Ovis aries: one gene and its partners. The protein of the gene in region 1 binds, or shares a complex with, the protein of each later gene. Links are inferred from orthologs where the notes say so. Each region holds a gene or a part of one and is shown on either strand. Other genes may lie near its edges.

Evidence for each region.
Region 2: IQCG (region 1) and DRC7 share a complex: the UniProt entries of both Homo sapiens proteins name them as parts of the nexin-dynein regulatory complex. The link is inferred for Ovis aries from reciprocal best matches to the Homo sapiens genes DRC9 and DRC7.
Region 3: IQCG (region 1) and CCDC153 share a complex: the UniProt entries of both Homo sapiens proteins name them as parts of the nexin-dynein regulatory complex. The link is inferred for Ovis aries from reciprocal best matches to the Homo sapiens genes DRC9 and DRC12.

The regions. Positions count from the first base shown.
Region 1 is NC_056054.1:191,034,628-191,038,280, reverse strand, and holds part of IQCG (dynein regulatory complex protein 9), read right to left. Parts: intron 2,390-3,653; coding exon 2,119-2,389; intron 1-2,118. UniProt on the Homo sapiens protein: Component of the nexin-dynein regulatory complex (N-DRC), a key regulator of ciliary/flagellar motility which maintains the alignment and integrity of the distal axoneme and regulates microtubule sliding in motile axonemes.
Region 2 is NC_056067.1:25,289,567-25,292,160, reverse strand, and holds the end of DRC7 (dynein regulatory complex subunit 7), read right to left. Parts: intron 2,254-2,594; coding exon 2,059-2,253; intron 1,205-2,058; coding exon 1,065-1,204; intron 794-1,064; coding exon 700-793; 3' UTR 505-699; downstream 1-504. UniProt on the Homo sapiens protein: Component of the nexin-dynein regulatory complex (N-DRC) a key regulator of ciliary/flagellar motility which maintains the alignment and integrity of the distal axoneme and regulates microtubule sliding in motile axonemes.
Region 3 is NC_056068.1:29,498,814-29,502,936, reverse strand, and holds the start of CCDC153 (coiled-coil domain-containing protein 153), read left to right. Parts: upstream 1-1,265; 5' UTR 1,266-1,489; intron 1,490-1,608; 5' UTR 1,609-1,620; coding exon 1,621-1,690; exon of another isoform or gene 1,691-1,975; coding exon of another isoform or gene 1,976-2,015; intron 2,016-2,088; exon of another isoform or gene 2,089-2,093; coding exon 2,094-2,159; intron 2,160-2,528; coding exon 2,529-2,672; intron 2,673-3,210; coding exon 3,211-3,459; intron 3,460-4,123. UniProt on the Homo sapiens protein: Component of the nexin-dynein regulatory complex (N-DRC), a key regulator of ciliary/flagellar motility which maintains the alignment and integrity of the distal axoneme and regulates microtubule sliding in motile axonemes.

The DNA of each region.
Region 1 (3,653 bases):
AGCAAATGTGTCAAATGGCCTGATGAACAGATTACTAGAAATAAATATGAGTTTTTAGAAGAGAACTTGAAGGAACTAGCTAAATATTCTGGTCCATTCACCTCCTTGTACGGGAGGGTGTTAGATTCTAAGGGAAAAAATAAGAACAGTATTCCCTGCAAGGGAGCTCTTTCCAAAGTTCAGATCAATTACTCCTACTTCTGGTAGAACTTAGTACATTAGTGTGTTTTTCATAATTCCATTCCATGATTCTTTAGCTATAAAAATGGTTGTGGAAGAGGGACAATGCTAACTAAATTTTCATCCCAGTGTTGTTACTGTAAAGCTCAACAATGTGAAGCTTTTAAAGAAGGAAAACATCCACATCAGTACCATAAGGTTTTTAAATATTTATCTTATGCAGGGCAATGGTACTGTAAAAATTTATGAGTTAGAACAACTATAATACTATAAAATGAAAAATTATTTTAAAGAGTCACATTCGTAAAAGTTATATAACTAACATATTCTGAAAGGGGCTTTTAAGCTCTATTAATCAGAATAAGAGTATAAACCTTTACTGTTTATATTTCTATAAAATCATAAGGAGGGCCTCTCTCTGTCATGTCAGAAAATTTTGTGGGTGAAGATCATAAACCAGATTAAAACTGGAGAAGTTTTGTTCTTTTATGTACTGGAATGGTGACCACTACTGAATGTTGTTTATAAATTTGTGTTTTTCTTTCTCTCTTGAGTTTCTATGATGGAAAAGTACCCTTTTTAAAGCCTGACGTAAATATCATTGAGAAAACTTTATCTTGTTAACTGAAGATATTTAGTGAGGTTAGTGTCTCTTCTGTACTATCTGTTAACAAACAATTTAAGAATTAGACTAATTTTAAGTGCACTGAAAGGTTTAGTTCTTGGGTTTCCAGATGTCTTTGCTTTTCATAAATTAATAAGGAAACTAATTTGTTGCAAAATTCCTATAATACCCATTAATGTTTTAAAATCACCCTAAAACTCATAGAATGTTAGTATTAGAAGGGCTCATTTAGTTAAAACTCCACCACAATTCATAAATGAGAAAACTAAGACTGAGAAAGTGAAATGAATTGCTTATTGCACAATTCAACCATAATGATCCTGTAACTTCAAATCCACTTTTAAAACCCTAATAAAAGTTTTGTGAATCCCGTTTATACATATAGCAGTAGTAATAATAATAATAATAATTATAAAATTGTAAGGGGCAATTAGAAGGAAATTTAATTTTCTAGTCACAGTAAATATGGGCTTCTTTTCTATTAGACATGAAAATTAATTTACCCTCTCATTTTTATAGCAAGTTGCATTTATCACAGAATCAGATATAATCTGTACAAATTATATAATTGTGTTAAACTTAATAAATATGTACTTAAAATAAAATGTAATAAAATTTGTACTTAAAAATTGTTTCTGGTTTAAGGGCTTAAGAATTTATGAAAGATTTTGCTCACTATCAAGTTGAGTTTTTTGATAACTCAGTGGTGCTTTGAGGGAGGAATCCATAACATCATGGAAAATGTAATGGCTAGTGCAATAATGCAGCTGGATATTGAGAAAAGCAGACTGCAACATATTTCGCAATGACAAAGTCATTTTAGATAAAAGAAATGTTGACAGGGTCCAGTTGAATTTCCTCCCCCTGGTGTTCAGTTAGCTTTTGTGCTGTTGTGCTTAATCGCTCAGTCCAACTCTTTGCAACCCCATGAACTATAGCCCGCCAGGCTCCTCTGTCCATGGGGATTCTCTAGGCAAGAATACTGGGGTGGGTTGCCAGCTGACAAATACCAATACAAGACAAGAAAACACAATTATTTATCTCCTCAGTATATATATTGTATTTATACTGACTTATCTATGGACTTTTTAGAATAACGCCAACATATCAGGAGAAAAGGATATTTTGTGAGATGTACCGTGAACTATGTCTATTTCACTCCATTAGCTGAGAGTACATATCTTAGATAATTACTGTAGCCCTTTACCTGACTAGAAGGTGCTATTGCCCAAGTTGAATTGAATGGCATAGGTACTGCAAATGATGGAGAAATAAAGAGAAAGCAAAAATTAAGTAATGGTGAATATATATACCATGCTGATGCTTTGTCTTTTTTCATACTGAACTGGCATGATATAGTTTAGAATGGAGAGCTGGTCTGTGGTGTCCTCCAGAACTGCAGAGATCCTCAGCACGTCTAGAATGGATAGCGGCTTCATGATTTCTGGGCTGATTTCTATGACTGCTTCTTTATCTGTTTCTTCCTTTTCTTCTACAGAAGTATTAGGTGGTTCTCCTGTCACTGACACCGTCACTTCAGAAGGCCAATCTTCTGGAGGAAGATTTGAGGCTTCCAGTTGACCTCTAAAGAAAGAAGGAAGGAAAAAATAAGTCAACCATCAGATGTTTAAAATCACTTAAATCCAAAAACACAGGCAGCATGTAGATGGGTTCCTGTAAAGTCCATTTTGCCATATACTCAAGAGAATGAATGGAAGTACTTTGCAGATGATTCTGCTTAATAACCCCCAGTAACATTCCGACTTCCCAGAGAAAAGCAACTCACTGTTTATTAAAGATGTGGACCCTCTGCTATTTGACTATGCTCAACCAATTTGAACTTGAGCCAAATACACTTTTTTTCTAGCAACATTTTCAGATGCTAACCAAAATTGTCTCATGGTTATGTTAACTGAAAGCTGAGCCTCTCTGTACACCGGGTGCCAAATCAAATCCTGGAGACAGAGTTTGGGGTGGAGAAAAGGATAGCTAGCTTTATTGCTCTACCAGGCAAAGAGGAACCTAAAACCATGTTCTGTCTCAAAAAACCAAGAGTCCCAACCCTAGAGAATTTGATGAGGGTCAAATGTGGGGTCTCTAACAAGATTAGAGTGTGGGCAGAGCTTGCACTTCCTTAATCTCATTTTAGGTGGTGGGTCTTCTAATCTTGATGAGCTTCTCTTGTCCCTTTCATCTTGCCTCTGGTGATTTGGCAAGATGAATTGATTGGGCTTCCCTGATAACTTAGTTACTAAAGAATCCACCTGCAATGTGGGAGACCTGGGTTCTGTCCCTGATTTGGGAAGGTCCCCTGGAGAAGGGAAAGGCTACCCACTCCAGTATTCTGGCCTGGAGAATTCCATGAACTGTATAGTCCATGGGGTTGCAGAGTCAGACAGGACTGGGCTACTTTTCATTTTCACTTTCCCTTGATTAGCTTCCCAGGTGACTCCTGTGGTAAAGAACCCACCTGCCAATGCAGGAGACATAAGAGGTGCTGGTTCGATCCCTGGGTAGGGAAGATCCCCTGGAAAAGGAAATGGCACCCCACTTCAGTATTCTTGCCTGGAGAATCTGTAGGGAACTAGGTTTAAAGAAGGTTGAGAAGTGCTTGCAAACGAGACTCTCAACCAGGGCTGGACATTTTTGCAAACGAGATGTTCTGCCCAGTGTAGGGAACTAGGTTTAAGGAAGATTGAGAAGTGCTTGCTAACGAGACTGTCAACCAGGGCTGAGCATTCTTGCAAATGAGATGTTCAGCTAAAAATCCTATTTGTTCCCATGGGAAAAGAACATTGCTTGCACACAAGGATGTTTCTCTGATTCCTCAAAAGGAACAGACCTTGGG
Region 2 (2,594 bases), on another chromosome or scaffold:
AAAGGCCGACTTCATTTGGGACTCGGGTGGGGTGGGCTTTGGGAAGAGCCGCTACCCACAGAAGTCAGAGGAGCAGAGGCAGGGGTCACACACATGTCTTGGGAGAAAGCCACTGGGATCTTGTTTAAAGGGATATAATGCTTATGAAGTCAGACCCGGGGTTAAGGCTGAGACAGCCATGTAGCTCTGGATCCGGTACATTTCAGAGCTTCCAGTTTCTTGTCTGCAAACTGAGGGTCTTGCACCCCCACCATGGCTGGGGTGGCCCAGCTCACAAAGTGGGAATGGCAAGCCTACGGTGTGTGCCCCAGAACTTGGCTTCTTGACGCTAGGCTGCAAGAGACTGAATTCCAGCGCCTCTTCTTAGCAGCCACTAATTAGCCATGTGTGAAATGGGGATGCAGTTGCTGTATTAAATAAGATAAGACTGTAAAGGTGGTCCCAGGCCACAGATAAAGAAGAGAAGGAGAAAAGGGCTGCTGCTGGAGTCTGTGAAACATGAGGTACACGTGGCAAATGGCAAGTGTTTATTTATAGGTAAATTAGGAAAAGCAGGAAAGTAGTGTGCCTGAGTGGATGGTCATTAGCTGGGCATAGGGAACACAAGGGCCAGGCTTTGGGGGAGGTTTCTTTCTCTGGCAGCTTTGCTGGGGCCTCAGGAGGGACTCAGAGGACCACAGGTGTAGGGGGTGAAGAGCATCAAACAAAGACTTTAAGTAACTCCACCAGGCGTGGGTCCTTGTAGAGCTTTTCCTCCAGAGCCAAGTACTTCAGTGGGGCCAGCTCCTTGTGTCTGAAATCAGAGGGAGGGTTTACAAAGCTGGTACTTTGAGACTTCCCTGGTGGTCCAGTGGTTAAGAATCCTTCTTCCATTGCAGGGGACATGGGTTGGATCTCTGGTCAGGGAACTGAGAGCCCACATGCCGCAGGGCAGTTAAGCCTGCGTGCCACAACCGCTTCTGCCTATGCACCGCAATGAGGACCCAGCACAACCAAAAAAACAAAAGCTGATGCTCCAACATCCTTGTGGGTCCTCTTGGCTCCCGCCACCCCTGCCTCCTCACCGGCTGAGCCGCTGCTCCAGGATACGGATGCGGAACATGGCCTGAGAGCAGTAACTCAGGTATAAGTCTTCATCCTCAGGTGTCAGGGTCACCTGATTCTCCTGATACCACTGCTGCTTCTTCTGCAGCTCTTGAGTCTCCTGTGGGCACGGGGAAGGAGAGCAGGAGGGCTGACCCAAATTGCAGGCTGACCCCGCTCCTGCACAGGGCATCAGACAGCCCCACAAGGTCAGCCCCGTCACCCCTTCTCATAGAAGCGAGAGAAGCAGAGGCAGAAAACCTGGGGCCTTGTTAGAGGGCTATATGTCCACAAGGACTTCCCAGGTGGCTCAGTGGTAAAGAATCAGCCTGCCAATAGAGGAGACGAGGGTTCGACCCCTGACTGGGGAAGATTGCCTGGAGAAGGAAATGGGAACCCACTCTAGTATTCTTGCCTGGGAAATCCCATGGACAGAGGACCCTGGTGGGCTGCACAGTCCATGGGGTTAGAAAGAGTCAGACACAACTTAGCGACTAAACAACAACATGTCCACGAGGTTAGAGCAGGAGTTAGGACTGAGAGCCATGTGACTCTGGTCAAAGTACATTTTCAGAGCTTCCAATCTGTCATCTGCAAAATGAGGGTCATTGCACTCACCCCCACCCGCACCACCATAGAGCCGTTTGTGAAGATTAAATAAGATAATGCAGGGGAACTACACGGTGTGTACCTGACCAACAGAAATGGGTCAAAAACTATAGGAGTTGTTATAATGCTCCAGCCATCCACGCCTCCATCCCTCTGTTCACTCATCCACCTCTCCATCCACCCTTCAACCCAATAAACAAGGATGAGGAAGGACAGCTTGGTCCTTTGGACACACCAGGCACTGACCTCCTCCCCTTCCACCCGTTAGTCCCTCACAAGTCTATGAGATGGTGAGCCAACAGCCCTGGGCTAGTTTTCCGGTGAAGGATGCCGAGGTCCCCACCCCTGCCAGGGCCCCGGCTGCACCTTTTCAAACCGGGCCTGGATGAGGTTGGCTTTGTCAATGAGCCGCTGCTTGAAGTCATTGAGGCACTCCTCCTTGAGGCGCACGGCCTGCCAGCGCGTGAGCTTCTCCCCAGGCGGGAGCTGGGCCAGGAATGGGGCCAGGTAGTCCAGCTGGGCCTCCACCTGTCGCAGGTGCTCCTCGTGTAGCACGCGCTCCTGTAAGGGGACTGAGGGTCGGCTGGACCAGCAGGGGCCGCAGACACCCCCCAGACAGCTCTATGGAGATATGACCACACAGAACCGGGCCCCAAACCCTCTGTGCTTGAGGCCTCAGAGGGCTCTGTGCTGTCTCCTGAGTTCATGGTTATTGGTGACAGCCAACTCTGGTGTCTGTGAGTTCACACATCTCCACTCGAGCCTCAGTACATACCTATCACTCAGCAGATGCTCACTCGATAAATGGTAATAAAGCGTCGTTGTTAATGATGTTAAAAACTGCTGGTGAGTTCCTTCTTTCCCTTCTACCCTCAGGCCTTCATTATGTCCTGTGTTGACCG
Region 3 (4,123 bases), on another chromosome or scaffold:
CGTTCTCCCTTCCCCAGATTTATTTTTCCAACTATTCGTGACTCCAGCAAGATGCTAGGCAGCACCCCTAAATGAGGGGTGCCCCCAACATTGCTCCATAAATAATTTAAATAGAAAAATTCAGGAGACTTACTAGAAGGTCAAGAAAATCCACTAGAGGGAGCCCAAATCAACTCAATGCCACAGGGAACCAAGCTGGTTATTTTCTCAGCACCTGTCTGAAAATCAACCACAGACAGGAATAGGGAGAAAGAGGAAATATATTAAGTCACCATAAAAGAAGATAGTCCTGTAAATACCTGGTGAAAATCCAAGCCTTTCAAGATTTACAAAATCAAAGATTTAGGAAACTGAGGCTGAGCAAGGAAAATGACTTACCCAAATTTACATATCTGGAGAAGGGTAAGGATGAGAACTCAAAAGCTCCTGTCTCTAACCAGTACCCTTTCTTCTTGATTTGCATCTATGTCAGGATAGAAGGGCATCGCAACCCACTCCAGTATTCTTATCTGGAGAATCCAATGGACAGAGGAGCCTGGAGGGCTACAGTCCATGGGGTCACAAGAGGTTGCAAGAGTCGAACACGACTGAGGTGACTTAGCACAGCACCTTGAGGTCCTAGGTCGAACTCTCCTCTGTGTCTCATTTATCTGAAATAGGAAACTCTCTCAACCACCATCTCCTGAATTTCTTTCCCTCATTCACCGTAGAATACCTTCCTGAAATCTTCAATTTTAAGCCTATTTAATAATGTCATTTTGTTGATGAGACTTTGGGAAATGTAAATCACCCCAAATGGCTACCGTGAGTTCTTTTCCTCTGTATCAGCGCAATAGCATTATTTTGGATGTGTAAATCTATAATTTGTAAGTGTCCAAATTGCAGGCAGTGCTACATAGAAGTGAATCATATTTAATCAGTTCCAAAGCCCTCTCTCCTCAAACTACACTTAGGATCTGGGGACAAGAAGAGTATTGGCCCTCTGAGACCTTGGTATTTTAAGCATTGTATTTAGCCCCTTCTACCAGACACAATTATAACGACTGAGCAAGCATGCATGTACCTTCCTAACAGCTCCATGTTTCCCAGTTGCCTGGACAACGTGCAGCCTCCAGAAGCCCAACCTTCCAGTTCTCAGTCCCACCCCCAAATGAAATTTGCCACTCTGGATTGGGTCCCAGAACACAATCTCCTCCTCCGGCTCCTAGCTGGTTGGGCCTTTTCTCTGCCCCTCCTGGAAAGTGGGTCACGCCACAGGGAGATACAACAGAGACAAGTGAGGGTCTTGGAGGAAGGAAGAGGCAGGGTAAGGATGATGGGAAGAGAGAAGGGGCCAGGTACTGAGCTTTATTTTCTCTGAAAGAGGGTTGAGAGGAATGATTTCTGTACTTAGAGCTTGACTGGTAGAGAGAAATGGGTTCATCCTTCCCCCTGGCCCCAGCCTTGCCTAAGTTTCCAAGGAAACCAAGAACTGAAGCTTCTGGAAAGTGTAAGAGACAGACTTGGAGATGAGAGCACTAATTCTCCTGGGACTCCTGGTTCCGTCTAGGGAGTCAGGAGAGTGTCTCCATGTCCAGACCTAAATATGAGCCCCCTCCCTCCCTCCAGGACAGGAAGGAGATGCCACCTAAGACCAAAGAAAAAGGGACAAAAGCTGGGGCCCAGAAGAAGAAAAGAAATGCAGGTGCTGGTGAGTCAGACTGGGTGGAGGTGGGTGCCTCCCAGCCTCTCCTTGTTCTGGCTCAGAGACCTCCAGAGAGAATTCATCCCTCTGCGTGACAAGATGGAGCTGTCTTGGCCTTCCCCCTTTATATCCATATTCGGGTGCCATGGAGCTGGGAACATGGGAAAATCAGCACCCATGAATCCCTTCTGGCTGTGTGCCTTCCTTGTATATTCATTACAATCTTTCAAATACCTACTGTGAGCTGGGTAGTGAACTCATTAGGCTTTGCTATCAGAGATCCCTCATTTAATGGTCCTTGTATCTCCCACAAAAAAAAGAGAAGTCCAGGGTATGGGAGGAGGGTGGGAGGAGGGTAGGGAAGGCTGAGATCCTGACAAGCTGAGGGTCTGCTGTCTTGCCAGGGCAGATGTGGAGGCTGAATCCATGCACAGGCTGGCACTGCTGGAAAAGGAGGTGCTCCAAGACCGCTTGGGTAAGAAGGGTAGAAGTTCGGCAACAGAGACAGTGGGCATTTGTGTATCCCTGGGAGCTTAAAGTTTTGGAACAATGGTGGAGGGCTGAGCTGATCTCTAACCATCCCCTAATGGGAAAAGATTGTCAAGAGCTGGGGTCATGAGGACAGGGTGGGCCGTGAGGGTTGATAAAGAAAGCTAACTTTTATAGCTGGAACACAGAGGGAGTTTTTCCCTCTTAGTAACAGAGTCTGTAGGATTCTGAGGCGGGGAAGGGAAACAGAATGACGATGAGAGACTGGCAGGCTGCCGCCAGGTTTCTGAAGGTGGACAGAGTCCATCAAGGCCATGGGGGCTGATTGATTGAGTGGAGCCCCCAACCAGTGCAGAGGGCTGCTCTGGACTGTTCACAGCTCTGCAGAGGGATGAAGCCCGCCGAGCCAAGGCTTCGGAAGACCAGCTGAAGCAGAGGATCAAAGACCTGGAGGCTGAACTGGAGGGGGCCCGGAGCGAAGGGAAGGCCATATATGCAGGTGTGAGGTTGATCGAGCAGGTGGGCGGGAGACAGGGGCCCGGAAGAGGACAACTGGGAGGGCCCAAGGATGCTAGAAAGGGAGACAAGGAGGACTTCGAACCGCCATACCTAGCCTCAGCCCTCCCTGCACCCACAGGAATCCTGAGGGGGCCTTCTGTGGTCTTGGGCAGGAACCTTCCGTGACATGCAGTGCTTTGTGCTTGATGTCCCGTGGACTATGAAACGCAGCCCTAGCCTTTATCTCACTCCTCCCGTGGGAGTGGGTGGGAAGGAGGGCCTGAATTCACATACTGAGCTACCATAGCGGATGGGTGTCTTATTTCCTAGCTCTGTCCCTACCTTCTCAGATCACCACAAGAATCCAGAAGACTTTTTTTTTTTAAGATTTTTTTTTTTTTAATGTGGACCATTTTTAAAGTCTTTATTGGATTTGTTACAATATTGCTTCTGTTTTATGCTTTGGTTTTTTGGCTCTGAGGAATATGGGATCTTAGCTTCCAGATCAGGGATCAAATCCGCGTCCCCTGCATTGGTAGGTGAAGTCTTAACCACTGGACTGCCAGGGAAGGCCCTCAACAGACCTTTATGCACTTGTCCACTGGACCAAGCAGAGCCCTCCCCACCCACAACTTCTGTCCTTTCTCCACTGCTCTCTCCCCATCTGGGTCCCTGGCCACCCACGGCTCTGCCAGAGATGAGTCGTCAGTGCCGGAGCCTGCAGGAGGCGATGCAGAGTCGCACCAGGAAGCTGGAGGAAGAAGTGAAGGGCCTGCAGGAGCAGTTAGGTAGGCTTCCCAGGTGGCCCTAGTGGTAAAGAACCCGCCCGCCAATGCAGGAGACTTAAAAGATGTGGGCTCCATCCCTGGGTCGGGAAGATCCCTTGGAGGAGGGCATGGCAACTCACTCTGTAATCTTGCCTGAAGAATCCCATGGGCAGAGGAGCCTGGATAGCCCCATTCCATGGGGTCACAAAGAGTCAAGCACTAACCGAGTTAGCACGCACACACAGCACACCCTGCCCTCACAGCACTTTCTCTCAGAGGATCACACTGATGTAGTCCAGCCTGAAGGGGTGGAGTTAGAATGGTCTTTCTTTAGAAAACTGCAATTTAAGCTCTCATACTGTCTTCCCCCACTGACTCTTCTACTACTTGCAACAGAAGGTTCAGGATAGCAAAAAATACCCAATCTTAACCTTTTAGTTATAAATGAAGAAGCCCTAACTTTCTCACTGCACCTCCCTCTCTCAATGGTCTCTCTAAAGACAGTTCTTACTCCCCACTGCCCACATGTCTCTCACGAGCAAAACACAGTCTCTCTTAGTTTGGCTGATGTTTAGAATGAAAGCAAGCTTGAATATAACTGTTTGAATTACTTACCTCCGTATCTTCAAGACCTAATGTGTGGTAGGTCCTGAATAACTATTTGCTAATAAATAAATGAGCTTCT